Linked DNA regions of Styela clava. The protein of the gene in region 1 purifies or fractionates together with the protein of each later gene. This does not show direct contact. Links are inferred from orthologs where the notes say so. Each region holds a gene or a part of one and is shown in the gene's direction. Other genes may lie near its edges. The genes, in order: syntaxin-6-like, vesicle transport through interaction with t-SNAREs homolog 1A-like, vesicle-associated membrane protein 4-like and vesicle-fusing ATPase-like.

Evidence for each region.
Region 2: the proteins of syntaxin-6-like (region 1) and vesicle transport through interaction with t-SNAREs homolog 1A-like purify together in Homo sapiens (affinity purification with mass spectrometry; 3 studies listed by BioGRID and IntAct, counting the BioPlex papers as one, with this or other methods). This does not show direct contact. The link is inferred for Styela clava from reciprocal best matches to the Homo sapiens genes STX6 and VTI1A.
Region 3: the proteins of syntaxin-6-like (region 1) and vesicle-associated membrane protein 4-like purify together in Homo sapiens (co-immunoprecipitation; 5 studies listed by BioGRID and IntAct, counting the BioPlex papers as one, with this or other methods). This does not show direct contact. The link is inferred for Styela clava from reciprocal best matches to the Homo sapiens genes STX6 and VAMP4.
Region 4: the proteins of syntaxin-6-like (region 1) and vesicle-fusing ATPase-like purify together in Homo sapiens (affinity purification with mass spectrometry; 3 studies listed by BioGRID and IntAct, with this or other methods). This does not show direct contact. The link is inferred for Styela clava from reciprocal best matches to the Homo sapiens genes STX6 and NSF.

Annotation. Positions count from the first base shown.
Region 1 is NC_135254.1:1,680,378-1,688,344, reverse strand, and holds the start of syntaxin-6-like, read left to right. Parts: upstream 1-4,954; 5' UTR 4,955-5,126; coding exon 5,127-5,161; intron 5,162-6,488; coding exon 6,489-6,658; intron 6,659-7,967. UniProt on the Homo sapiens protein: SNARE promoting movement of transport vesicles to target membranes. Targets endosomes to the trans-Golgi network, and may therefore function in retrograde trafficking.
Region 2 is NC_135260.1:9,561,222-9,568,659, reverse strand, and holds the start of vesicle transport through interaction with t-SNAREs homolog 1A-like, read left to right. Parts: upstream 1-4,438; 5' UTR 4,439-4,643; coding exon 4,644-4,737; intron 4,738-5,141; coding exon 5,142-5,200; intron 5,201-5,750; coding exon 5,751-5,861; intron 5,862-6,758; coding exon 6,759-6,842; intron 6,843-7,438. UniProt on the Homo sapiens protein: V-SNARE that mediates vesicle transport pathways through interactions with t-SNAREs on the target membrane. These interactions are proposed to mediate aspects of the specificity of vesicle trafficking and to promote fusion of the lipid bilayers.
Region 3 is NC_135258.1:11,720,332-11,727,797, forward strand, and holds the start of vesicle-associated membrane protein 4-like, read left to right. Parts: upstream 1-4,453; 5' UTR 4,454-4,465; intron 4,466-4,630; coding exon of another isoform or gene 4,631-4,713; intron 4,714-4,790; coding exon of another isoform or gene 4,791-4,926; intron 4,927-5,006; coding exon of another isoform or gene 5,007-5,164; intron 5,165-6,007; coding exon of another isoform or gene 6,008-6,131; intron 6,132-6,666; coding exon of another isoform or gene 6,667-6,867; intron 6,868-7,466. Other genes in the region: isoleucine--tRNA ligase, cytoplasmic-like, read right to left, coding at 1-45, 540-726, 1,443-1,545, 1,946-2,055, 2,347-2,424, 3,655-3,746, 4,224-4,354, 4,631-4,713 and 4 more. UniProt on the Homo sapiens protein: Involved in the pathway that functions to remove an inhibitor (probably synaptotagmin-4) of calcium-triggered exocytosis during the maturation of secretory granules.
Region 4 is NC_135262.1:1,425,568-1,432,844, reverse strand, and holds the start of vesicle-fusing ATPase-like, read left to right. Parts: upstream 1-4,277; 5' UTR 4,278-4,313; coding exon 4,314-4,550; intron 4,551-5,361; coding exon 5,362-5,446; intron 5,447-5,936; coding exon 5,937-6,106; intron 6,107-7,277.

The DNA of each region.
Region 1 (7,967 bases):
GTTTTTTTGGTTGACAAAGTAATGAATATATCTCTATGTTATGCTGATTAGGGTCTGACGAAACGTTCCAGAAATATATTTGTGTTAGTCTGCAGCAAGACTCTTGAATCACTTGGAATTTTTAATTTATTTGCTTTTATCAATCATTTTGTTGTCTGTTATGCTAATTGTGGAGTCGAAATAAACTTATATGATGCTCCATAATATAATATGATTACATTCTCAATTACCGGTAAGCGGTTGTTATGTATCATTTAATTAACTGTTAGTGTGATAAATATTTATTCTGGATTACAGTATTGTAATTGTCTCATCTTTGTCAAAAGTTCTTTATTAAATCATATTTGCTTTAATCCGCATATGTATATTCTTGTACTATTGTATATTATTTTTTTATAGTGTTAAAATGATTCTTATTCGAAGGCTCGATCAGAATTAAGTATCTTTTTCTTTAATCCAAGAACCTGTGTCAATTTATGTATTTATTCATGTGTTGTATTGGGTGGTTACTGACTCAGATGACCGTAAATGGTCGTATCGTTACCTCCCAGTCTTGCCGAAAACTTTTGTTCCACTTATTTCGTTATTATTATATTTTAAATTATGTGTTTTCTGGTTGACGAAATAATGAATTTTCTCTCTCACTATCTATTTATATTCATTATAGAATGGTCACACTTGAGTGATCACGGCAGAGCGAAGAAAGCTACTCAAGACTTCTTCTACGGCGAACAATTTCTTGTTTGTTTTATTATAATCATATGTTCGGGTTTTTTTCTTGGTTATCCTGTAGTTGTTTCCCGAAACATATTTATTTCATGTTTGTGGTCAGGTTTGGTTTGTGATTATATTACCGTAAATTAATGAAATCATGGTACTGGTATGAATTTTGTATTTATTTGGATTTGTACGCTACTCTTGATATATATTGGGGGAATGGGATTTAAATTGAGAAAACAAAAACAAAAAACATGGAAACAAAAAATTATGGATTTAAATTAAAATAGACTAAAATGATTCGATTCCAAAATAATAATACGAAAATTTCGTTTGGCATTGGAATTTAATTGGCAAAAATAAAAATAAATGATTGTGGCCAGGACTACCGGTACCGTAGTTTACTATCATATTGAGTCAGTGTGTTCTGTTTTCTTTTAGGCGAATAAAAATGCAACGTAAACCGTACCGGTACGGAACAGTATTACCGTATCGGTACCGGTATAAGAGTTCTAGGTACCGCCGTAACGGTAATCAGTAGAAACACTTGCACCGGTACCGGTACTGACTTATGGTTTAGGATAGAATTTACATATTTATTCCGGGGGAGAGGAAAGTCTAAGATGAGGCGGCTTAATCATATGGCGGACCACGGCCTCTCGTCTGTTTACCAGTCTAGGTCGTGTACCGGTATGGGAGTAGTCAGCATGGACTTGATGGTGGAGGAAGCCGTACGGTATGGTACCGGTACCGTAACCGACCAGCGGTTATGTGAACCACCCTACGGCAGCGAGGAGTCCAATCCTATCGCACATGATCATTTCCGCATGGGATGGCGCGGCGGTGTGGCTCAACGGGCTAAGCGTTAGGAATACGCTCGCCACCGCACCTCTAATTACTCTGCGTGGGTTCGCAGGTTCGAATCCCATGCAGGGATGGTTATGTGCGAGAGGATTGCTGGACTCCTCGCCGTCGTTGGGTGGTTCACGTACCGGTAACCGCTGGTCGGATACGGCTTCCTCCACCACCAAGTCCATGCTTCCGAAAACAAACAATACAGTAAAACTAATCCCATACCCGACTTGGAATGGTAACCGGACGAGAGGCCGTGGTTCGCCATATGGATAAGCCGTCTTATCGGCTTTCCTCTCCCCCGGGATAAATATGTAAATCCTATCCTATCCTATTCGAACCTGCCATCCCACGAAGGGGGATCAGAGATGCGGTAGCGAGCGTATTCCTAATGCATCGCACGATGCAGCGATGTGCCACACCGCCGAGCTACGTTTTAAAGGGAGAGATAGTTTATAACCAAATACTTAATATCTGCCGAGGTGTCTTAAGATCTATTTGTCATTCTTACTCCAGCATCTAACTTACCGGTATGTGTTCTTATGTCATACAGTCTTGCAGTCATATTATGTTTGTATGTCAGGGTGGTCTGTTGGCCCAAACTGCGGCCTGCAGAACAATTCTATCGTGCACTGAACCATTGCTGCATTGGCAGATATTTGTATTTATTGGCAGAACATTTTTTGATTATTTTTAATCACGGAATTTCAATGTTGTATCTATAAATGTCAAGACGTTGCCTATATGAGAATGAATTGTCTTGTGCAGACAGGACCAAGCCGATGAGATGAGTCGTGCTTTTTGTCTAAACTTCGTGCTTTAAGCTCGCGTCAAGTACCGTAAAAGCGCCTAACTTCGGACAAAAATTTTGAACGGCCATATCTTGGCTAAAACGCGACGTATATTGCTAATTTTAATTATTATAGGTTGCGCTGTTATATCTACATCTATTCTCAACTTTTTTAATGTTGCATAAATATTTTTTTGGTAAAAAACGGAAATTTTGCCGAAAATTGACTGCCCGGCATTCAAGGGCGCAGAGCGTCGCTCCTACTGAAGCTATCATCGTCAAAATACCATCATTCGGTAGAGGGCGACAACAATGTATATAATTTATTTGAGTGATCGCAAGATGTCGTACGAGATTTAAATAAAACCTAAAATTCTGAATTATAAATTCCGTAAGAATATTAAGATTTCACGCAGCGTCAAAAATTACGTCAACCTCACGTAGATTACTTTTCGCTCACTTCCGACACGACGTCACACTGCGTCGCGGAAATCAATTTTGACGCCAGACACAACGGAGCCAATATGACAATTTCCGTTAAGATAAAGACGGCGTTCCAATGTAATATTTTTGTATTTTGTTCGGTCATGTATGAATATATGCCAAAATTACATTAATGAAAATACATGTCACACTTAATCGATGACGTTAAAAATCGAATATATAAAACTATGATAATTCCAACGTCCATATGGCACAGTGCACTGACTTAACCATTATTTTATGATGAGTAGTCGAAATGACAGTCATTGAATACGGCCTGGGTGAATTTTATTCACTCGAAATTAAAAATAAATTTAATCTCCAACAAATAAACGGGACCTACATGTTTACAAGATTAAGTTGAATTTTAAATTAAACTTCACAATCGGATTTACCGTGTGTTTGATATAAAATTATCATTTATAAAGATAACCGCGCAGAATAACAAAAAGCTATCCGTCGAGAATATTAATACTTCAAAGACTCCGATAGAAGCCCGTTAGAATACTTCATTGTGGATTGAAACGGTTTGCATCAGATATATTTACGCATGCATTTCCTGATTAAAATGACTAACGTGTTATTATACTCATCTGAAGTATCAAAAATAACGAACGAAAGATGTAAACATAGGACGACGGAAGTTTCAAATAATGCATTTTCGTCGTGACGTCAATATTACGTTACGACGACGATCGAGCGTCTTATCTTCACGCAACGACGTGATTACGTCATCCGCATCGGAAGCCTCTTTCTCTCTGTGCGTCGCGGTTACGCAGTGAAGAAAATGACTGTCCGAAGTTAGGGCAGTGAAGGATAACGGTCAGATGGCAAGAAATATCGATTATTTCAATAGTAAAAATAGTCCAATTGAACCGAAATTTGCAGGGAATGTAAATTACCGCACGAATGTTTTTCCGAGCAATTTTGGCACCGTTTGGACAATAAATGGCCGAGTTAATGAAGAAAATATAGCAATTTTGTCCGAAGTTAGGCGCTTTTACGGTACGGTACCGGTAACTCCTCATTTGGATAATATAAAATCTTTTCTCGGCCTCTGTTTCTAATTGTTGGTCATGTGACAGCAGTGACGAACCACAGAGCTGACTTAGCGCCACACGATCCAGTTTTTTTATCTGAGTCCGAGTCCCAACAATTTATCATACCATGTGTAACAGAAAGGTGACACAGGTAAACTGATGGGAAACATATTTTCTTACCCACAACAATGCTAAACCACAGTGTCTGGTGTGTTTTCAAGTAATATCCGCCACAAAGAATATCATTTTGGGCGACATTACAGAACCAAACATGAGAAAAGATACAGAAAATAACATTCGGGAAGCAATTTTAAAATAACTGAGGGCTTTATATAGTTTCATTGAAAAACTTGGTGGAACAATAAACTTTCTTTCTTATCATATATATTTGAAGTGAGTAAACTCGCGATGTTGGGATCACTTTTGGGTTTTCTTCGACTGCGGCCCGCGAGACCTCCTCAAAAGTTTTTTCGGCCCTTCAACTTCGCAATCTTGGATACTAATATACACGGTGTTATTTCTAGTTCTGTAGTTTAGGGCAGGAGGCCCCAATTAAAAAATTTTGGGAAACCCTCGTTTGGGGCGATGGTTCTCAACCTTTCTACCCTGTACTCGCGGACCGACAAAAAAATGATATGAATGGAACAGAAAATAATAACATAAATTGCGTAATATAATGCAATACTAGAGCTATGCTTCTAGATAAAAAAAAATGCACACCTAAAAATATTTCACAGAAAACCTATCAATAATGTACCGGCCAAAAATTGAAATGACTGAAACCTAAAAAATAAAACCATATATTTCGTAATAAAATATATTTAGTCACTCAGAACAAAAGCACTGTTGAGTCCTATTGCGACTCATCGGGGCCCCCAGTTTGAACAGTGAAAGAGGGGTAAATTTAACTTTTTTAATTTGCCAATGGGTAAGCAATAGAAGACTGAAAAAATGATATCTTATGCTTGGTATCTTTTTCTCATTTGGCATCCAATTTATTACACCCTCGTTTGCTTTTTTGACCTGAAATTTAGAAACCTTTCTTTAAATTTTTACTACACTTCACAGGTTTTAATTAAGTCTTACTAAAGCAACGTCTAATTTTTAACAACCATAATTTTATTGCTGGATTTTATCACCTAACTGCCAATGGAAATAAAAGAAAGGCAATAAAAAGATTTCCTCAGAGGTGAAAGAAAATAGAGAAGTATACAGACATAAGAAACCATTAGTAAACAGGCAAAATGTCTGTGGAGGACCCATTTTTTGTTGTTAAAAGGTGAGTGTATTAATGCTTAGATTTAGTGCCCATACAGAGCCACAGGGCTACGAGAGAAACCTATTTCACGGGCTATTCATTTACCTATTAAAATACTGAATATTTTTTTAATACAAAGCAGGAAAATAAAGTAAATTTAATTTACTCAGGAACATTAATCGGTGTGGTGTGTTTTTTTCATTTTTATAAATTCATTATGGGGCTCCATAAATAATAGTCAAACTATTTGCGGGTTCCATAACACCAAAAGTTTGAGAACCCCTGCTTTAATGAATAGATAGATTGATGCTACCATGACCTGAACCGTGATACGCCGCAATAATGCAGCGGTAGATCTCTTATTGTAACAGCGTGAGGTGAAACCAGTTGAAAAGTATTTCATTTTTACTAACAGTATTTTGTCACAATGCTCTCAAGCTTGACGCCTGTTTTGATAATTTCTCATTTGGTTGATTGATTACGAAATGTATCCATGGACCATTCGTTGTTATTATTGTTCATGCTGTTGCGGTATGAAACGCCTTATGAACTAATGGTCTGATTGCCTTCAAATTTTCAGTGGCGAGAGATTGTATTTTTCGCTAGAAGGCTATTGCTTTTATTTATTTCAATATATTCTATAAATAAATCTTATGAAATTTCTAAATCTAAATCACCCTAAATCTTGCTGTAGTATTATTATATTCATGGGAATACGGTTTTTAATTTGCTAAGCGTGAAGGCTGTCTTGTGCTTCGATTTCGTAAAATCTTGGTATATTTATCGCTATTATCTCTCTGGATAAGAACCAATCCATACATCGCCTCGGTAAATCCCAAGTATCTTATTCAAAATTTTTCAGCAATGAAATTTTTGACTTTATGTCATTCTGAACCAAGGGCCACCTTTTGGTCTGGCTTTCAAAGCTGTATCTGTCTTAGTTTTGTCTGCAGATCTGATTTCTTGAAGCCTTGAAATTTGTTACGATCTTATGTGGTTTACTGCGGCTAACATTTGGGCAGCTATACGAAGTGTTCTGATATTCGTAGGCTCGATGGTGCAGTACATCGTGCTAAGCATTAGGGAAACGCTCGCCATAGCACTTCTGATTACACTGCCTGCTAGAAATATCGCTGGCCACACCACAGGGTGGTTCAAAGAACTGCTTGTTGGTTACGGCTTCCTCTATCATCAAGTCCGAAAACAAATTACCGACTAACTAATCCCATACCCGACATGGACTGGTAACCGTGAGAGGCCGTGGTTCTTGATAGTATTAAGCCGTCGTTTTCTGCTTTCCTTTCTTGATAAATATGTAAAGTGTATTCTAATTTTACTCATTTTTCAGTGAAGTGGAAAAGTCCGTTGAGAACTGTCGCGTAATGCAAGAAAGATGGAGATCTTTATTGACGGATGGAAGTTTACTCAAGCGTGACCAATACGAAAGAATGACGAACGATCTGCGGAACAATGTTCGATCAATCGAGTGGGACTTGGAAGACTTGGACGAAACAATAGATATCCTTTTATTTGTTTATTTATTTTAGGATTTTTTTCAGGGGGGGTAGAAAATTTGAAAAAAAAATTACTGTATTTTTGAAAATAACACTTTTCATCCAGGCTCTAATGAAGCCTGAAGGCCAGCTATTCTCAAACTTTTATTCAATAAAGCAATACAATATGTATAATATCCAATCATATTCAGTTATTTTAATACAATTCTATTAATTTTCGGAGAGCGCTTAACGAATCGCAGTGTCGGACCAGTGTAGAAAACATTTTAGATGTTACGTGTTGTGTATTTTAATGAAGTAGTGGTCGTGTGCAAGGATGGCCATTACCGAATTATTCACTATTTCGAATAACGTCGAAATTATTATTTTCGAATATGAAATTAAAATAATACGGCAAGGCATTTTAAATGCTGGTATTGTTCATGAATTTGAATATTCGAATATTGACTATCATCATCAAAATTATTTGCCAAAAGCGAGAAAAAGTTTAAATGTTTTTCTCTATTAAATCAACTTTTTTTTTTCGGACTTAGACAATTTATTGGATTTTGTAATTTGTAAACAAGCGTTGTATTCATGCGAGGCCCGTGACTCAATACAAATGAATGCGTAAATTAGAAGCCTTGCAAGAGAATGGCGATAGTGCCAATCTCGCGACCGTGTAAATGTGTCGTAACAATACGAGGCGGCGCTCGCACAGAAGATAACAAACAATCGAAGTGCTGATACTATTTCACCGTCATTGCATTACGCGACAAAGCGCCGAAAATCGTTTGAAGATTTCTCTTTAAAACGAAACACTTCGCTGACGGTGAAAAGTCGCTATTATTCGAAAATCAGTCGGCAAGGTATTCGAATACATACGAATATTCGATTCGTTTTGGAAAACCCTGCTCGTTTATCAGGATTTTAAGACTTCATAGACATTATATAATATAGAATAGATCTGAATGGAAACCTTGGGTGTTGTGAACCTCCTGCAATGTTTATTGAAGATTTAAATAACTGTTATCATTGGCTTTTTAAGCCGGATATACTTTACAGTTTAGCCTGTCTAAGTAAACACGTATGTCGTATTCAAGGGTACTTTGGATTGCTATTTATAAACTCATTTATTGGTGGACGTGTTGAGGGCGTGGCATAAAGTATCTGTTGTTTATTTGTATTATAGTTAGGATTGTACTATATAATATGATATTATGGGTAGTGGTCGCTAGAAAAACAGGAAATCGTCAAACAGAGATTTATTTTTACAAAGAATAACTATAATTATTCCATGTATATCCTTATTATTTTGCTCAATTTTGTCAAAT
Region 2 (7,438 bases), on another chromosome or scaffold:
AATTGAGAGCTTTTTTAAAAACTTTAGACAATCCAATGCTGAACCTTTAAAATGCTTTATCAATAATGTAAGACTAGCTCTGGGTGAAACATTATAATCCATCAAAGTTAGAGTTACAGAGCATATTTGTAAAGTTGCTTCAAATTCTATGGCTAGACAGTTTGCACCATCTTTATATTTTCTTTGTGCTACCAATTTCTGTGAAAGACATGAATATAGTTGGATACATCTTTGTACAATTTCTTCAACACTTTCAGTTACCAAAGTTAGATTTATTATACTTGGTAAACAACGGAGAAATTCTTGCCGTGCATTTTCAACCCTGATTTTGAGGTCGGCATCTTCTTCATTATCGCAAACACAGAGATTGAGAAATACCTTCACTTTCTTCCCATCCATACCGTACTGTAACCAAGTAAGGTGCGGTATCGTACAGGAGTGTTGAAACAGTGGTACAAAAATAATCAAGTCTATTAAACCAGAGACAATGCATAACAACAAGACGTCAAGCTTCCTTTGTTTATTAATATAATTCCCGACGATTTGTTAATCACTCTCTGCCACCTAGTGGGGGTTTACAACAAGCGGTTGTCTTCAGAGGTTGTTTGCGGTGGAAGTTGTTTCGAAGTTTTGCAGCATCACCATAATAGTTACGAAATTATTCTATCCCTTATTTAATAATGTAACCAAGTGTAATTTTTTGAGGATTTGTTAACCGCTATCTGCCACCTAGTGGAGGCTGGCCGCAAACGGCCATCTTCACAGGTTGTATGCGGTGGAAGTTGTTTCCAGTTTATGGGAAACAAGTATTGTTGTCCGGGATGTAATAGATAATCAACGCAAAAAAAGCATTGTCAAAATACCACTATGGAAAAATAAAACAGTACAGCGTAATACCGTCGAAGTTTTTAACTTCGGACAAAAAATTTAAGCTGGCATATATCAACTAAAATGTGACGTATTCATGCTCATGTCAATTTCTATTCTAGCATTGTTTTCAACTTTAATAATGTCGCCAAAAATGTACCGTATCACGATTTTCAACAACTCCTGAACAAAGTAGCAGTAATTCAGAAGACTCGAAAATGGATGTCGTACGCAAAATGACTCCATTGGGTCAATAAATCAACTTCATACTAGATGAAAAATCTTAACCCTAAGAAGATTGGTCATCCGAGGGAATTTACCAAAAAAGAATGGGCCCGATTTGCTTCATGTATTCAAATTATTGCTCGTTGGGTTTTTCCGATCGGTTCTAAAAACACGAGGAATATTGTAAAAAATTATTTGGATAGAAGAGAAATAAGTTCTTCATTTCCGGACAACAAACCTGGTGGATCGATAACTTCTGTAGAACACGCATTTAATATAGTACAAGTTGTACGTTAAGATATTCAATCATATTATTCAGAAATGAAAGACATAGTTAACCGAATACCACCAGCAAATTTTTTAATCGCGATGAAACTAACCTCCAAGACAACAAAGGAGAAAGCGACCAATTGTTTTGGATCGAACTCGAAGTAACAGATTAGAAAGGATTCAAGACTCTTCAAAAACTTCAAATTCCACGATGTTCTGCGAGCCAGCAGCTATCAAATTCGGTTCATACCACACTTGACCAAGTGTGTAGTTAGTCTGATCATTGGTCTGACATTTTATTTACCAGTCTGAGTACCGAGAAGTTTTTGCTATCAATTGACTTATATTTTTTTGTTGTGTATTTGTACTTTGATGAACAAAACAAAATAAACTCCCCCGCTCTCTCTAATGAGAATATTTATACATTTAATATTTAATGCACGACGAAAATAAAATTTATCTGGCCTCCCCGTTAGTCGTTGGGCCTCCCATATAATGATTCGCTTCTGGTTTAATTAATCTCACGTCGTCACATGGTGGTACTATAGAGTAAAGTAATTACGGGTTAACAGTGTTGAGCTCGTATGTCGTATATCTTTTCTTTATCTGATACCATATCTGAACGGGTCTGTGTAATTTGTTTTTATTAATCATTTTTAATCATTTTATTGTTATGCTGATAATGGAGGCGAAATAAACTTGTATTATTGGACACGTAGTGGACATAACGATCGTTTCAATATTATGTTGTTGTTGTTCTTGTTCTTGTTCTTGTTGTTGTTCTTGTTCTTGTTCTTTGACACGTTTTTAAAAAGTCGCTTTTCTCTTCGAATACTGGACCAATTGCTTTGAAATTTTCAGTGGTTGAAGATTAATTTTTTCGCTAGAAGGCTATTACTTTTGTTTATTCTTAAATTTTATATGAATCCTATGAGATATGATATTTCATACAAAATTTCGCGGTATTTATTTTTACTCATGGGAACACTGTTTTACACTTATTTCAAGCGGTTTCGCGATCGATTGTCTTGCTCAGTACTACAGCTACTGTAGGTCGGTACTGGTAAGTTGCCATACCGGTGCCGTAACGCAGTGAAATTGACTTATTCCTTAGGATAGGATAGGATAGGATTTACATATTTATCCCGGGGGAGAGGAAAGCCGATAAGACGGCTTATCCATATGGCGAACCACGGCCTCTCGTCCGGTTACCATTCCAAGCCAGACTGGATTCCATGGCAGGTGCACGCCCGAGGGCGCTAGCGCTCCGCAAAAATGCACGCGAGCGAAATCAATTTTGCACGCCGAAAATTTGCAATTGCTCACCAATGTAAATCGGTTTAAATGGTTTTAAAATCAATAATCCAGTAATATAAAGATGCCAAAATATTATAACTCCACAATTGTCGACAAATACCAGCCTGCAAGATTTGGTCTGATCGAAATATTGCGAAGCAAAAAGACCATGGACCTTTTCCCAACCTTTGACCCGCGAAAAATTCCTCTCATTGTTACGTCCTTTTTTGCATCTTGCTGATTGGCCAATGTCACGAAGTAAACAAGGAAGTCGATGCACGGGGAAAGGTCCATATCGTGTTGAATGATAGGAAATAGGAATCCCGTGCGAATAGTTATGGACGAAAAGATCACTTCCGCACCAATGGCCAAGTACGGCTCTGATTCAGCGTATTTTTCATACAATAATTTTACACGAATGTACTGAACAGTACCGGTATCTAAAGTTGCTCAAACACTCCCAAAATTAGTGACAAAGTATGAAAATAATGTTTGGGGTCAAAGGTCAAACGTCCATTTTGCTCTAATTTGACGTATTTTTTATCCATTAATTCTACGTAAAAACACTACCAAAATTAATGACAAAGTATATCCATTTTGCTCTGGTTCAACGTATTTTTTATCTAATAATTTTACGCGGATGTACTGAACAGTACCGGTATCCAAAGTCGCACAAACACTCTCAAAATTAGCGACAAACTGTAGGAATAATGTTTGGGGTCAAAGGTCAAACGTCCATTTTTTCTCTGATTCAACGTATTTTTTATCCGATACCGGTAGTTTTACGCGGATGTATTGAGAGGTATCTGATGTCAAAGTCAGTTGCACGCGAGTGCAGTTGTTTTGCACGTCGTGAGCTATAATTGCACGCCAGGAATTCTTATTTGCACGCGGGAATTTCTGATTGCACGCCCGATTTCTCGTTCAAAAAGGCCATGAAATCCAGACTGGATTCCAAGTCGGGTATGGGATTAGTTTTTACTGTATTGTTTGTTTTTCGGAAGCATGGACTTGGTGGTGGAGGAAGCCGTAACCGACCAGCGGTTACGTGAACCACCCAACGACGGCGAGGAGTCCAGCAATCCTCTCGCACATAACCATCCCTGCATGGGATTCGAACCTGCGAACCCACGCAGAGTGATTAGAGGTGCGGTGGCGAGCGTATTCCTAACGCTTAGCCCGTTGAGCCACACCGCCGCCTTCCGCGGTATTACTAATGCTGCAATGCAAGTTTTATAGCCTATCGTATGCGGAACGGAATATCAGACCTACAGGTTCGGTACTGGTACTGGTGCCGGTACCGGTGTCTTACCACAATGAAATTACCGTACCGTAACTTATTCTTTCACGGTCCTACCAGTGCAGTGATGCAAGCGTTGTAGCACTTGTAGCCTACTATATTTGTTTATTTTGATGAGAGTCTACTGGAAACAACATAAAATTTGAAAGGGAAGAATTGTTCTGTGATCAATTATCTGTCCTAAAGTGTAAACAACATAAAATTTGCAAGGGAACAACTGTTCTGTGATCAATTACCGTATATGGCCTACAGTGTACAGGTAAGATGCTGCCTGACTGCTAACTCAGTACCGCTTGACACGTTTTTAAAAAGTCGCTTTTCTCTTCGAATACTGGACCAATTGCTTTGAAATTTTTAGTGGTTAAAGATAAAAATTTTCTCCAGAAGTCTATTACTTCTTTTTTCGCTATGACGTCATCGAAATTATGTGACTCTACGTGTCCATATATTTGAGCATAGCTCTCTTGTACTTTTATTATGAATAATGTTACAACATGTTTGGTATTTAGGCGTTTGAAATTAGGCTTATGTTACCATATTCATTTTATTGCAACTTGAAAGTCAAATACCAGAATACTGAAACAAGGTAACAACCGGTACAGATACCGTGATACATTTCTTACATCTGTACATTGCTGTTTCCGTCAGCTGCATTGTGCTGTTGTGAAGCAAGCGGACATCCAACATGGCTGCGATTTTTGAATCGTATGAGCAACAGTTTTCATCATTAACTGCTGAAATAACAAGAAGATTGGGCTCTGTATCTTCATTATATGGGGGTATGTGATATAATATTTACCAGCGCTATCAAATAATGCTGTATTGGGTTTTTAGCTTTGGTAGAAGTCACGATTCTGGTCGAACGAAAACGATGTGTCATTTTTTTGCTAAAATGTGATCTTTTTAGTCAAAAAGTAAATAAGACTGTGCGATTGAATAAGATAACAGATTCAGAGATACCATAGAATCTGCCAGAAGCACAATACGACACAATTTAGCCATGATATAAACGATTGAAAATTTCATTTGTGTTTCAAAGTTGCAAGATATCCGAAGTTAGTCGTTTTTGCGATGCCTATTATTTTCTATGCAACTGTAGTCTAATATCGTTAAAGTTTAGGACTGAATAAAGTAGAATAATTCATTTCCTGAATTATATTTTTGCCCTCATTATTCATTTCAGTTGACAAAAAGACTGTGATAAGCTCAATAGAAAGACAACTTGATGAAGCCCAGGAATTGGTAAGAATATTTGCATTTTCTACGATGCAGACTTAGGCACGTGGAGGCATAGTGTAACAAGTACAGTTTCTCTTCTACAAAAATAATGTTGATATATTTAAGTGAATTTTGATTGCATCTTGATTAGCTTTGGTCTACTGTCAGACTGTAGGAATGAAGTATGACTTATGTAATTGATTTCTTTTAAAAGATTGATATCATATTAATTTTCAACAAATCTATGTGAGAAATAGCAGGAAAGATACAGGGCTTAAAATTAAGTTTCAAATGTGATCTTTAACCCCATTTCGATCAAGGCTCATTCTGCTCGGACAAATTTTATCAATTCTCATTTAAAAGTAATGCTGGATCGTATCAAAATCATCTGTCCCAATTGTCATTTTTGCTTTTGTGGTTTTAATAATCACCATATGAGTTCATTCCCTCGCGGACTGCCAACGTCTATTTGATTTTTTAATTCGATGTAAGAAATATTGAATTCTTCGGAATACTTTTAAGAAAGTGTTTTGTTTTTGTCAATTGTCTCAAAGTCAATATTATTTTTTGCCAGTTGGAACAAATGGATTTAGAAGTTCGAGATATGCCCAGTGCTGAAAGAGGAAAACTAATGAGCCGTGTGAAAAGTTATCAAACAGAATATACAAATTTGGAATCTCAATTGGTGGGTGCTATTGGTTTGCATATTTTAAACCAGTTTTTCTGACCAATGTGTGGGTACTAATCCCTTCCAAGATTCATCACACGCACGCACACACACACGCTGATTCATTTTTTATTTATATTGCAGCTCAATAAAGGCAACCCTAAGTATTTAACAATATTTTTCATAATGCCATCTACTTCCTGACTTGTTAGCTGAAAATAAGCATTTTGAGAAAGTGTGATGCTTTATTTGTCAAAATCCTAAAACTGATTTTCTGAATTATTGATGTTTGTTGGAGCCCAGCATGGCAGTCATGCACTGATATACATATTATTTTCTTTTTTGTCAGTTTCGAAGATAGGTTAGTAATTATAGTGTATGGATAGCATAAGTGGACATAGTCGATAAATATTTTATTCTCTTGTTGTATTTTTGGTTGTACTTTCATTAAATAATTCTCAAATGATACTTTTTTTGATTTTTGATGAAATAACATCACACAACTCAATATATTGAGTAATAAAGTATCAATGACAAATAAAACAATATAAAATAAAATTACCAACGAATCCCCAATTTTTCAAGGTGTTCTTTAGCATGCTGTTTGTATTTTGACGGTTTTGTTTAAAAAGAGCGTACTGTATAGTTTTTCTGTTTCATTCTGATAATTTGTTACAGAATATTTCATCCAATATCGATGGATAAATTATGTACATGAATTCTTCTGAAATAAAGAATCCAAGAAATTAAGTTCAAACAAATATAATAAAGTATATTTGTGTTATTATCTTGAGATTATGTTTGATGCAAAGGTGTGATAATTGATGTTTAGACGGTCTGCTCTATAGAAGCAATCCCAGATTACAGCAGCCAATATATTCCAACCTTTATTTTATCATATACATATTGTTACAGAAAAAGCACAAAACTTCAGCAAAAGATGCCGCAAAAATGAGGGAAGAGTTGTTAGAATATGATGATGGTTCAACGAATGACCAGGTGATTAAATTTATTTGCATTTTCTTTTCAAATATTTGTATGACTCACAAATAATCAGTTTGGATTTGGACATATCTCCTAAATCCCTATTTAGAATTAGAATTAACGTTGTAAAAAAAAATATGAATATTAACGCTATTTACATGATAAATAAGATCAGGGACATTTTTATTTAAATGTTGGGCATCTTAGTTTTAAAATATCTTTATTTTTTACAAATTTCAATGAATATCCTGATAGTAATAAACATGTAATGACTGGAACATTACACTATTTTATCAATGCAATCACCATGGATATAGAATATCCAAATCATTGTGTAATATAGATTGATCGTTAAATCCAATTGGTTGCTATTGGTTTATTTTAAGTGTAGGAAATTAGCACAACATCTGGTATCTAATGGGAACCAAAATTATGAATGGCTGGTGTTTTTAAAAAATATTTATATTGAGTTTTGGTTGGATAATCCTGGGTGAATACTCTGGACAATGTTAAAGGCTTTCAAACTCACAAAAGGGTGACACCTAAAAAAGCTGTTTTGAGAAAGTGAGAAAAACGTATAATTTTTTATTTTTGAACTCTGAAACATCCCT
Region 3 (7,466 bases), on another chromosome or scaffold:
GACTTGATAATTTAGCTATTTCTGCCGATACTTGTTTGAATTCACCTGTAAAATGTGTATATTAAACAACTTTGCTAGTTGAGTACGTCGAGAGCCCTAAACTGAATTAGAATGATCATTGACAAAAATATGGTAAGCAACTAATGAATAGAGCTACGAATAGATGTATTATTCATTTGGTTATGCTATATTGCCTATATAATACTTTGAAGTGATGCACATTGTTAACTGTCAATGACGCAATAACTCTTTAAGCTGTGCAAAAACAGGAGTGCTACTTGTGAATAACTTTAGTAAAGTATCTATTAAAGATTAAACAAAAGAAGCAATAGATAACGAAGAAGGAATAATAAGTTCCAAAATTCCAGGAGGAGTTTTAAAAAAGGTTGCGAACCACTGGATTAAGATTTTTGTTAGAAACCAGATTGTTTGGTATTCTCAGTTTGTGATTAGAAGAGGATTAATGTAAAAATGCAACATTTAGTAGCAGGCTTTATGAAAATTTGATTTCAAAATTAACAAAAAAAATGGGAAATTACCTTTCAAACGTTTCCCGAGAATCATGTGATCAGGTTGTGCGCGAAGACTAACTTCATATTTGTCTTTATCGGAAGAAGTCGTGATCTTGCGTACATTCAATTCCTCGGAAACATATCGCTCCAAACTAGCAACATCATCCAGATATTCTTTGCTTTTGTGGATGATGACAACCTCAGGCAAAGGGTACTGTAAGAAATTAAATTTCATATAAGCTAACATGAAAATAATTGTACTGGAAAGAGATCTGCAGTTAAATCATGCCTAACAAACAATAAACTATTAGCATAGCTTGACTTGACTTGACTGGATGAAAGCACGGGTCGCACCTTTATATAGGCTTTCTAGTAGTTGCTTGCACAAAAATTTTGGTTATTGATCCTATGACATGCGTTGTTCACTTCGCACAAGCTAGCTGTTAGGACATTATGACGCAGACAGTAAATTAGATAATAATGAGTAAGATAATAGTAGTGGAGAATAATGCATAGATAATAAATTAGAGTAGACTAGAGTATAGGCTTTGCAACACAAAGGGATTGGAATCCCTCGCATGCACCAGATTAAACCAAATCAAAAATTTATCCGCGGGCCACACAATTTTTTCTTGTGGGCCACAATCGGCCAGCAGGCTGCAGGTTGTGTATACCATTGAGGCTGGCATCAGTAACATGCTTACAGAAAAATAACAATACAAAATAAGACTATTTGCACAAACTTGCAGTGACATGTGAAATGAAATGTTTGCCTGCAGTTGACGACGACAAAATTTAAAACCAAGTTTGATTTGTTAACAGAGAATGATTATTTTAAATGGCCGTCTGAAAAAGGACTGAATCTTCATAGTTTTTCCTTCAGAATGACAAAAGAACGAAGAATCGTATGCAGTCGAAATCAGTTAATACCTTGATTGGCATTGTATTTCTATCTCTGATTATTCTTCCTAATTCAATAACAGTTTGCATCCTTGAAACTGCTCTCTCAATTTCCACATTAATCAGTTTCTCACTAAAATTGAGAAAATAAAATATAAATAATTTACAATGAATATATAAAACTATAAACGCTGGTCTTATAACATAGATAAAGCATATCAGTAATTCTAAAGAATATTTGGATTACTGTATTTGCATTATCTATGATTGCCTGCGTTTCGTGGAAATTTATGAATAGTCAGAAACAAAATGAATATAATTTCAGTTATCGCTGGCTATAATTAACAATACAAATCAGTAATTTCTATGTTGTTGTCTATTTGGTTGTATTAAAATGAGATTGTATGAAGAAGGATCATGATGGAAATTCCTAGAGTGAAAATAAGGCAACCATATACAGTGGTCACAATTGATGAATCACAATTTCTCCAATGGTTTATGAAAAGAGTAAATTAAGTTCTTGAATATCTTACTTCGCATCTGGGAACATCAAATAATGGATACTTTCAGCATTTTCTTTAGATTTCAAAACTTTCTTGAGATTTTGATACATATGCTCAGTAAGGAACGGAGTAAATGGACTCTGAAAAAAAAAGGATTACAGACTGCATAATAGATGTATTTTTGTTATCATGTGACATTTTTTGTGCGGCTTATTTACAAGCCTTTTGCTCCAAACAAGGAAGTAAAGTCATTAACAACTAGTACATATTCACTCGCTAAAATCCAAGGCCACCCACCCAAATAGGCCACCCAAGCCCCCCCCCCGAAGCCGTGCCTTGCAATAAAACACATAAAAAAAATCATTTATAGTAAAATGGCAGCTGATCTGCATTTTGATTAAAGATAGAGTTTTGGAATCATAAAAACTTACCATTTCTCTAATCATTGTGTACAGAACACTATAAAGTGTTTGCAATGCTTTTTGACAATCTTCAGGTCCACCGTCACCCTGAAACATTCAAAGAGTCAAGTGAATTGTCAGCTATAACTTGCTCTTTGACCTGATATTATATAAACAAGATTAGAAGAAGCTCTATAATAATATAAAAAGTTAATTAGACAACTTCAAATCAATATAAAAAGGATTGTTTATCATTTAAATAGAGAATAAAAAAGCATAGAAAAAGAATTGTAATAAGGATAGGATTTCATATTTATACCAGGGAGAGAAGAACGACAAAAAGGTTTACCTCTCGTCCGGTTACCAGTCCATGTCAGGTATGGGATTTGTTAGCCAGATATTTTGTTTTTGAAAAAATGGAATTGATGGTGGAAGTAGCCATAAGCCCCATGTAACATTGATTAAGAAATAAACTCAAGAAAAATTTCCATTTTAAAAGCCATTTTATAGTCAACACACTTTAAAATATGTATTTATAATAATATATACGTTAATAATATAAGTTACATTCGCTGATTCAAAGTTGCATCATCCAAAACTGATAAAAGAATTTCCATAAAAGGCGACCTAGTCATAGGTAAACATATTCTATCACAGAAAACTACTTGTTTTTGAAGTTTGGCAATGAAATTCACCTGGAGCTCAAACAAGGTTCTATTTGTAATCCATTCTGGTTATTTCCTACAATGTTTACTTATCTGATAATATTATCAAAGGTTACTTTGAGAATTTGGAGTGTTTTATACAGAGTAAATAGTAATATTAGGATTTTTATTGGCATTGCTATCCAAAAAATTGGATTTTCTTAATATTAAATGTCACCCTTCTTTTGATAAATCGAATAAATCAAAATGAAATTTAATTCCAGACGTAAAAGCATATAAGATTGAAAATCTAGACAAACAAATAGTGATTTATCACTGCACCCATTAGGGTAAACATGCTGTAGTATACCAGAATAAGCGGTGTGAGTAGTAATGGCGTATTAAAATAGATATATGTTGATTAAACCTTCAACAAAATCTCAGATTTTATTAAAAATCGACAACCTATTTTAAAAGTAAAATAATTCTCTGTAATAGTAAAACTACAATATTAGAATGCAAAAAATGCTATTTTATTGAGGCACAATGTTATCTTCCAATAACGTTATAAAACTTATTCAATTACAGTGCATAAAATAGAGATAAACGTGTTTAACTAAAATTTAAACACACATATTCCCAATAAATATCATGGACATCCACAAATTTAACTAAAACAAGCAAATATAAAAACCTTCAATCTTTTCCTGTTTGATCTGACGTACCAGTTTGTCAATAAATCCACAAATTTGACCAATCGAGGAACGACAGTATACAAGTGGTATGCTGCAAAGTAAAATATCCAATTCACCAAATAAGATAGTCTTAATGAAAATCAATTATTGAGAAGCGCAAGTCGCTGTGTTATGAAAATAAAGTAGCACTGCACAATGAGACCCACATGGCTTCATTATCATGCAATGTCATTTGCACAGCATACATCATGGTTGTCAATTGCAATATATTTTAAAATCTCGTTCGTTTATGTTGATACAGTAGCAATGCTCAAGATAAAATCCTAAAATATTATGCAAATGATTTTCTCTAAGGATTCAACTTCAAAATGTTTTGACAAATATGCAATAGAAGTCCATGTTTATTTGATCATGAAGAGATATGTTCGATAAAAAAAATTGAAACATTTTGATAAAGAAAATTTTGGAATTTTGGCCAAACTATTGGCAATTCAGATTTAGCTTGCACACACAATTTACATGGATACGATGATAGGCTAAAGTTTCAACTGCGATTGAGATATCACACCTTTCATTTCCTTTTTCACATACAGTACAAGTGATTGTATTGATGACAGAATCCATTTGTCCATTATGTTGTCTGAACTTCCAAGATCATCTTCTTTGTATTTGAATTCAATGCCTTCTTCCTTTTGAAGCCTTAAAACAAGTGCAACTTCATTTTATTGAAATAAGCAATGGATGAAATTTGCATTATAATTTTGAACAAATAGGAGTGAATATGACATTGGAGTATTTGGTTGTATTAAGGTATAAAAATAGGATCGCTTTAAAATGACTACGGCTGCTTCTCATTAATATAAGACATGATGGAAATGCTAACACATTCCCAATTAAACCAGAAGAGTGATTAAAATTTAATAAACTGAAATTTTTGTTTCTACAAATTGAAATTTGAATTGGTCCAAAACTTACCTTATTACGTTCTGCACAAAAAATCTGTATGCATTGTACCAAGGTAGAAAAACATCTTTCAAAATATCTCGTACACCATTTTCCTAAAAATAAAAAGAAACATTTATATTGCAAAAAATATTCCCTATTTATAACAAATAAAAAACAAGCAATACAGTACCTGAAATCTCAAATTCTCGGCACGAACCACAGGTGAATTGATCAAATATAATCGGAGAGCATCTGCACCATATGCATGTACAACTTTGATTGGATCAGGATAGTTTTTCTTCCTTTTGCTCATTTTCTGACCATCGCTGAGATTAAGTATTAACAACATTGAATTATGAACAACATGAATAAATCAAAAATGGTATTAACAATATCGATGCCATACCTGGCAAGAACGAGTCCATTGACAATTAGATTTTGAAATGGAGGTTTCCCAAACAAAGCAGTGGATAATACCAGCAAGGTATAAAACCATCCTCTTGTTTGATCAATTCCTTCAGCAATGAAATGAGCTGGAAAACTGTCTTCAAATTCTTTCTTGTTCTAAAGACATAAAAATTATGAATAATTACCACAACTGGTTTGCCATAGAATATTTTTTATGCTTGGGAAATTTGGATAACTCTCATTGCTGTGTGACCAGACCACTAACAATGATTCCAATGCAGGTTAATAGTGAAGCAATAATAATAGGCCTAAAAGGAAACAAAAATTAAGGTATAATCCATGCTAAATTCCAAATCAAGAAAGTCTTGGCAGTTGGAATGCATCATAGATTGAGACATAAGAAACCAAAAACTTGAAACAATTGAAATGAAATTTACGCAATTGCTTGACTTGTGAATATGACTGAGCATTTTGAATCAAATATTTGAACAATAATTTTTTTTAAATGGTTCAGATCAAACTTTCGAATGATCGCCATCTTTTTTCTAGTCTTCCGTTCAAGGTCAAGAATCTTTCCATTTTTTTATTGCAACCATATTCTTAAAATGCAATCTTGTCGTATGACATTTTTTCTACTAGTGAGATATTGATAAAATCTGTTTCTTATTGTGGGTGACAACTCAGCAATTTGTCTAAGTAATAGATTCTATGTTTTCAGTAATTTATGTGTATGAAGGACATATGGCGATAAAAAAGTTAATACATACAGTTACCCTTTTCCAAGTATTCGAGATTCGATTAGATTGAGTAAAATTTTTTGATTCAATTCAGAAATCATCAGGTATTCGAAAATACCCACCTCATATGTTGTATTTATTAAATGCATGCATATATTATTAAGCTTTTCCTTGCCCAGTCCAGTGAATCAAGTTCCAGGACAGAATCTTAAGGCATTGAGGAAACAGAACTTTAAGGCATTGAGGAAAAATAATAGCATACCTCAAATGGATAATGCATTTGAGCATAAGGCATAGATCCACTTTCAAACCAGCAATCAAATACTTCGGATATACGACGTAAAACTCCTTTTCCAAGGCGTGATGGTATAGTGATGCCATCAACACTAAAGAGAAATAGCAAAGCATGAAGTTGGAAAATTGACAGACAATAAGAAACAGAAGATTGACAGTAGTTAAAAACAGAAACAAAAGGATTATCCGCTAAAAAAAATAAAGGCTCTCTAAAAAGCAAAAAATTTGTGAATTTTCATGTATATACATAATGTTGAACTTGTCAAATAATTATAAACGAATGATGAAGATCAGATAATGATTAACAAAAGAAGCAAGATTTCAAAAGCTTGAACTAAATTATAAGTAAATTATGACACAGATAAATGTTAATATGCTAAATGCAGGGGGCATAGCCATTTCAGAACCGAAGTTTCAAATTCAAAATCGGAGATTCGCCTGCAATGGCTTCTGAAACCACCTATTAAAAGAGGTGATTCTTCTGAGAATACTGATTTTTCTGTTGCATAAAATATGCAATCCCTGTCCAATAGAAGCATTAAGAATGCCTTGCCATATTAATTAATTATGTTCAACTCACGACTCGTTGACATACGACAAAATAAAAACATCATTACTCTAAAATACCTTTCTCTATGAAGATCAGTGACTTTGACCCCAGATAATTGTTCCAATTCCTCTATGGACCCGATGCAAACGATTTCTTCGAAATCCTCGCTGACCCACAATGGTATTGGAGTACCCCAATATCTATTACGAGAAACGGCCCAGTCATGAGCATCCCGAAGCCAGTTTGCAAAACGTTTTTCTTTGACAAAATTAGGAACCCTGAAATGGAGAGAAAATTATAATGTGAAATTAAATAGCTGAAAGTGACATATTATTTTTCTTATGTATCGCATTTCTGAGTAGTGAGAGTGGTCGGCCTAAGCTATGTTGGTGTCACAGGTCAAAAATTTCTGGTTCAATCTCAGAAGCTGACTTCGCTACCCGTGTTGTAATTGGATTAGCAATGGAATCGACTGGAAAGATTTCAATTCATCAAAAATGGTAGATAATTATGTTGTACGATGCCTATGTTGCAGGTTAGCAATGGACTGAAAGGCTCCAATCCATCAAAATCAGTATCTAATTACGTAGTCACTGGCCTTCGAAGAGAAGGTATGAAAACACCTCATAAAATGACCATGGTTCGCATAATTTTTTCTTCCACCATTCGGTCAATGCATCCACAACAATTAGCTACTTCCACCTAGTCTTGTAACTAGAAAAACTGATAACTTGTCATAAGAGTATGTCGTCTGGCACCTTTTTTCTTCGAGCTAACCAAGATAACCAATAAATATTTCAATAATACTCACAAAATAAAAAAAACTTCACTTTGCATCACATTTCATTGGCAATTCATGATAATATTTTCATATTTA
Region 4 (7,277 bases), on another chromosome or scaffold:
CAGACGGTTCAATCATATGGCAAACCACGGCCTCTCGTCCGGTTACCAGTCCAGGTCGGGTGTGGGATAAGTTAGCCAGTTATTTGTTTTTCGGAAGAATGGACTTTATGGTGGAGGAAGCCCTAACCGATGTGAACCACCTACGTTATGTATTAATGGGTCAGAAAGTGCTTTATACTTAATTGCCGACACTAAAAATCATCACCGGTCCGTCGTTTTAATAATAACCATTTTTTGTGGGCTTATGAACCAGATACCCTTTAAAAAACTTTTCGTCTTGTAGCCCAGTGTGTAGACAAAACTTCAACCTAAAATTGTTTTGCAAATGTGCCTTCTGGTCTGTTGAATACTGACAGGTTGATTGTTTTGTCAACCAAAATCAAATAAATGAAAGCATACATACATTGAAGAGAGTAAGAGGCACTGCTTTTTTGTAAGGACTGGAGTTTATGTCGATGATTTATGTGATGCATGATTGATAGAATCATGATTATGGAAGTCAGAAAAGCAAACAAAACAAGGCAGTGGTTTCAAACGTTTTTTTTTTGTAAATTTCTCCCGGTACTGATTTCAAAAATCTCTATTCCCCCCTCAATACACACAATATTCATGTTTCCGTTAGCTGTCATTATCTGTCGATTAGGGCCGGGCGTTTTCGAATACTTGATGATTTCAGAATTGAGGCTTGAAAGATATGTAGTTGCACATGACTTTTTCACTGTGATGTCTATGGGTCCTCCAGTCACATAAATTACTGAAAACGTAGAATCCATCACTCAGACAGTTTGCTGAGTTCACATAAAATAAGAAACACTTTTTGGAGAGAGAGAGAGAGTCATATGTCAGAATTCCATTTTGAAAATATGGGTTCAATAAAAAAATTTAGGGGTGAATAAAAAGAACAAGATGGGAGACGGGTTAAAATATTCTTTAAATCGAATAATTTGCTATTGAATTCGAAAGGCCCAGCCCGACTGGTGATATGCATAACCTGCACTCATAGACATGTTGTACATTTCTAATAATTATCTGTTGGGTGACGCCGCTCGTTAACCATCACTGGTTTATCGCGTCTCCTTTCACACTGAAATGTATTTTTTTTATTTTTCTCAATTAGGTTTGCTCAATGTGTACGTTTGTGATAAAATAAACTACTGACTAGTCAATATTAACGAAACTACAAAATAGCCTATAAGTTTTCCTCTCCAAAGGGGAATATATTTTAACTATGGAGGAATTCCTTCGGAAAATATTAAAAATTATGAAATAGACAGGCTTGCATCGTTCCTTCAGATATTATAAATGGTGGTTTAGAATAGGATTTTCATATGGTCGATCCTGATAGCCTCTCGTTTCAGATACATGTATGAACTTGATTGTCCTGAAGGCTTCCACATGAAGCTACGACGCCCGAAGGATACACTGCTTTTATCATTCGTCTTTTGTATATGTTTGTGTTGTGTGTGTATGATAGGGGTAAACTGGCACGTGTGTTTCTACACGTATTATTCTCAAGCTTTCGTGTCATTGTATTTTGTACGTTTTTGCGATGAAATCAAAATAAACTTACAATTATGAGCTTTGGAAAGAATTTCAAGGGTCGATTGAATTATTGTTACTAACCCACCAGTGAGGACTAGGGATGAGCCGGGATTCGGATTTGAGTCAAATCCAGGTATTTTTTGGACTCTGATTCGATTTCGAGTAGACGTCATTTTTACCGAGTCTATAATCAATTGTTTTTACTAATTTACTATATTTGTACTTTTGCCTCTATAAATCTCACTACATACCTTAACTAGTTAAAATTCAAGGTTAGATCTGTAACAATATCCCTCATGTGTATTATAAACACTCCTAATAAAGACGATGACAGATATCCAGATAATATAACGCAAGTTAAAAAATATTGATAGCTTATAACAATGATGCGCGAGTCGTCTTCAAACTATCTATCCTTTTTGGCATACACGTGGTACACAAAAAAATATGTGTTAGTTAGCGCAATATTTTTGAGTTTTCGATTCGCGTAAGAATGAAACATGCTTTGGATGAACCCAATGGGGAATCTCATCATTACCTCTTTTAAATCGAGTTCATTACGTACAATCCTTTCTCTAAAAAGGGAGCAATGGAAAGCATGGAGAGTTTTAGAACGTTTACATGAACTACTAAATTACAAGCAGATGTACAACATTGCATTGACGTTGAGTGGCATTTCTCTACCATTTGCGCACGTGGCATAGTAAATTTACAGCTAGAAATATCCGGAACTATGGGAAAGCATTGTTATCAAAAGCTTATTATTTTTTCATATCGACATGTAAGAATTTCTGAATAGCCACCCAGAATTGACGCAAGGTGGTGGGCTGGAAATCCAGTTCACAGCTAAGGCGCACATTGACCCATGTTTACGCTTGTAATATGGCAGCAAAAAAAAAAAACGAAAAATATATTTTTAAATTGATTCAACAGCTACCTGAGGAACCATTAGACAAAAAATATGAGCCACGTCGTATGTTTGTGAGCGCGCGATGCTGTAGTATTGTCAAAATAGTGTTTTTCTACTTTTACATTGTGACGTCACGGACTCGGAGGATTCGATTCGAGTCCTTGACCTATTACTGAATTGATTGATTGATTGATTACTCGGATTCGTCGAATCTCTCTAATGCCGGACTCGCCCATCCCTAGTAAGGACGGACAGTTATATGAATTCAAGTTACGCTCCCGTGACCCGTGGTCACGCCTGAGCAAAAACGTCATTTTCGTCGCTGTGTTTTTGATGTGCTGGCTCGATAAATATGTTGCCAGTTTTCCGGCATTGTGCGTGCGTTTACCGGTACATTCGGGAACATATTTCACTGTACCTCGCAGCGGGTACATTATCTACATTCGAAACGTATGAGGTAAAATAAATAATCGTGGGAATGGCATTTAAATTTAAACAACAAAACGTGGAATCAAAAAACTACCGTACTGTATGTATTGCGACAATTAGATTTTAAAATCTCAATACGAAAGTTCCGTTTGGCGTTAGAATAATTCGCCGCAAAAAAGTGAATGATAAAACCGAAGATAAAAACAGGATTCAAATGACAGAAAGATAACAAAACGCATAATCAAGTTGTAGTGAAAGGACAACTCAATAAAACTCGCTTTGCGTGATATTGATCGTAAGACAGTAACAGCATATGGCGTTGTAGTTTTTATTATTGATGAATGGGAATCTCATATTTTATCCCGAGAATTATTGACGTGGTTGTTAGTTTTTATTAGTTAAGATTGCAAAGAATACCTAGAACTGTACCGGTATTTTATGAGTGGGCTTTTGAGATTTAAATTGTAGGCTGTTAGTAGTTTTTCTTCTTTTTAGAATTCTCTCTTTTTTATACCTGTGTTAGTAGATAGTCAGAACAGATTCCAAACATAGCCAGTAGATTCCAAACATAGGCTCCACATTGAAAGACATCAATTATAACAGTGAGTACGGTACAGTACGGCACACTATACAGATCGAGAGGCATTGTCTCATTTTAGAGAATTCCATTTTGCCAATGAACAAACACCCCTCCTTTCGGGGACGTCTGGCCATTGTTGTTCCTCAATATCGGTAAAAATACAGTAAAATGAAGTTGTATAAAAAACTACAAAGAAGCGCTATCTAAAAACGTCATCATTGAATTCCTCTGGAAAAAATAATCTAATTTATTGGAGGAAAAAAATTTCTACCATGGCATTTGAGAGATTTTAGCTAAAAACGACAATTTTGGTCATGTGACAGCCACGATTTAGATTATTATTGAGACAAGCATCGCGCAATATGATGCATCTGATGTCGTGCCAGACACCCCTTGTTTGGGAGAGACATGGGAGTGTTTGTTTTATTAGACCAAATGATGGGACATTCTTGGAATTTGGAAATTTTGGTAGACACTACCTGCTACAGTTTATTTATTTGCGTTACCAAGTTTAACGAACATGCATGTTATTTTCAGTATTTCAAAGGAAAATCAGGCAGAAATGCAGAATTGCCTTTACTCTTTAGGCCTACATGTTTACAAACTTGAAAAAGCATAAATAAAGTACACATCAATGATCACAAAATTGAGTTCTATTTTGAGGCAGCAATTTTTTTTGGTGTAAGTACATCGTGATTTTTTTTCCCCGAATAGTTCCGCGCACACAAACTAACAGTTTACGAAGTGCTGATGTCTGGTATGAACAGACTTTGTTCTTATTAAGTATTGAATTATTATTTTCTTTCATTCAAGGCTCATCAAAAAAATATTACATAATAAATTATAGTAAAAATGTCCACAGAAGCTTTCAGAGTCACAAAATGTCCTAGTAATGATCTTTCGTTAAAAAACAAAGTCATCGTGAGTCCGCAGGATTTTCAAAATGGATATAAATACATCAGGTTTTGTAATCGAGGTCAGGTGTACGATTTCACTTGCCTCCCTGATCGTCAAGTACAGGATAAATATATTGGATTTTCAATGATTCAAAGAAAATGGGCCTACGTTGGGATTAACCAAGAAGTTCAGGTATTTATGATTATATTTTTCGTGATGGTTAAATTTCGTCTACGTCATCCAAAAATCATGTCACTATGATGTAACAGTGACATAATAAGGCCCGCAAAAATACATGCATAGTCGTCCCAAACGCACAGACCATTACCCTAAGTCAGCAAGCTATTTTTCTCGTCTTAGCGATCCCAATATGAGAGAGATCACTGGCGTTGTGAATTTCTTATCGGCGGCTCATATTGGCAAGCTATGTTACATGATTGTGAGGCCGTAGTCGCGCAATTCATAGATGGCGTAGTCAGGTGGGAGTAAGGAATAACCCCAAATAGGAATAACAAATATTGACAAGCGCACTGGAAGTACTACACTAGACCCAATATTAATAACCAATTTGATTTATTGTAAAATTTGTTCATGCCTTTATTATAAACAAGTGGGAGGTGCTACTTGCTATCAAACTTTCATGATCATGGCCTCTTCCAAACAACATTTAGGTTCTTATGATCTTTAAAAAAAGATAGTAGTTTTCACTCGAATGAAGCACAAGGTGTCACTATGGAATAAGAGCGCTGTTTTGAGGATCCCCTAACTTTCGATCGATAAGTCTTCGGTCTCTGACCGATATTCTCGTTTTTTACTTGAGGGGCTTCCCCACGACCTCGCCACCCTAGATGTAATGAATTGGGCAGCCAATGACGAACCAGAGTGGTGTCCATCTCTCTGAGAATAGTATCCAAATTTGATGTATCAGTAGATGCTATTACATAGCCTTGTTCAGTGTAAAAAACACCACCTAAGAAATGCTAAATTTCATTTCTTATGACAGGTTGAAAAATTCTTCCCCACAAAGCAGGATGAAATAGTTGAAACCATCCTTGAAGTGGATTTTTATAAATCAAGAGAAGTCACAAGTAAGTTTAACAGTCTGGAGAATCTATTTGAGTACTGCATGGTTTTGGATTGTGTTGCTCTTCAGTTTGGGTGCACAGCGAAAGTCAGCAATCGCCTCTCATTGGTCGATGATAATTTTATGGTGTATTCTGCGTTACCCAGCGCTTCACAACTTATTTGATATCCGAAATTGGGGTTTTGCCCGTCAAATATTCACCGTATATAATCCAATTTCAAAACTAAGCTGTCAAACTCTGATCGCACTCAAACAAAATGACATCATGCTAACTTAATTTCAACAACTCGAACTATGAAAGTCCTCACAATAAAAGCGTACGATTTGTAGGATCCGCTTATATGCAAATTTTTATAAATTCACCGTTTTGGGGTCATTTTTAGGAGGTCTGCTTATATACGGTATGTTGGGAAGACATTAGTTTTGTGAAAATTATAGCCTAGCCTACTCTGTCAGTGGACAGGCAGTCTTATTCCAACATCAATTTCTTTCAGATGATCCAGTCAACACAGATCACATGGTAGAACAACTCAAGCATGACTTCGCGCTTCGGTGGTTTGTTCTTGGTGAAACGTTGCTGTTCAGTTTTGCCGGCATACATTACGCAATTTCGGTTAAAGATATTAAAACTGCTGCCAATGATCACCATGGTGGAATTTTTCAGGTGAGTCGAACTGACATGATTTTTTTTTTAATTATAGTGTTACCCCTGAAAAATTTTATAAAATTTATTTGCAGATACCTAGTGATATCACACATTCGAAAAAAATTTGAATACTCTAGGGGTCCGAAAGGAATCGAATATACTAAATGTACATGATTTTTTTTACAAATATAGTGTTACATCTTTTCTACCCCCTAAAATTTTTTAAAAAATATTCCTTTATATCCAGGTATATCATGCATGCTAAATAAATTTGAATACTTTGGGGGTCCGAAAAGAATCAAATATACTAAACGTACATGATTTTTTTCAAATATAATGTTACTCCATCTCTGCCCCTCTGAAATTTTATAAAATATATTTGCTGATACATAATTATATCACGCATGCAGAAAATTTGAATACTTTGGTTATCCAGAATGAATCGAATATACGAATATTTTTTCAATTATAGTGTTACATCTTTTTTACCAACTAAAATATTTTCAAAATTATTTACTAATAATCAGGTATATCACATTTGAAAAATTGTTCGAATACAATACGATTATTTGAAATTTATAACAGATATATTTAGTTCCTAATTTTTAGAATAAGTTTGAAAACTTTATTTGGAAATATTTCATTTTGAGCAATAAAAGTATCTTGGTAAAACCAAAAGACCTGTAATTAATTTCTGACAACAGTAGAAAATGGAGAGCCTAAATAATATTGCATATGATCTTTATCTCTATGATAACTGAAACCTACAAATCTATAGAGCAGTGGTTCTCAACCTTTTATGATTCGTGGCCCCCTTTCGGAGGCTTTTAGCACTCATGGCCCCCACTTTAATATTCCAGAGGTATTAATAGGGTTATTTTCATTGATAGATTCCAAATCCCATTATGTTAAAACAATTTGCACAAAAGAGAACGAAAACACCCTGCGAAATAACCTTGTTGAGCAGCAAACTAGGAAAAACTAAGAGATTTCTTTTAAAGTGAAAAGTAAATTCAGATTTCAGCCCATCCTTGTGGCCCCCCTCCAACTCCTCCGTGGCCCCATAGGGGGCCGAGGGCCCCCGGTTGCGAACCGCTGCTATAGAGGGTTAAAAGTGAACGAGACTTATCTCTAAGCAAAGTTATGTTCACTCACTCAGAATCAAAGGTGACTCATCTCCAAGCAAAGT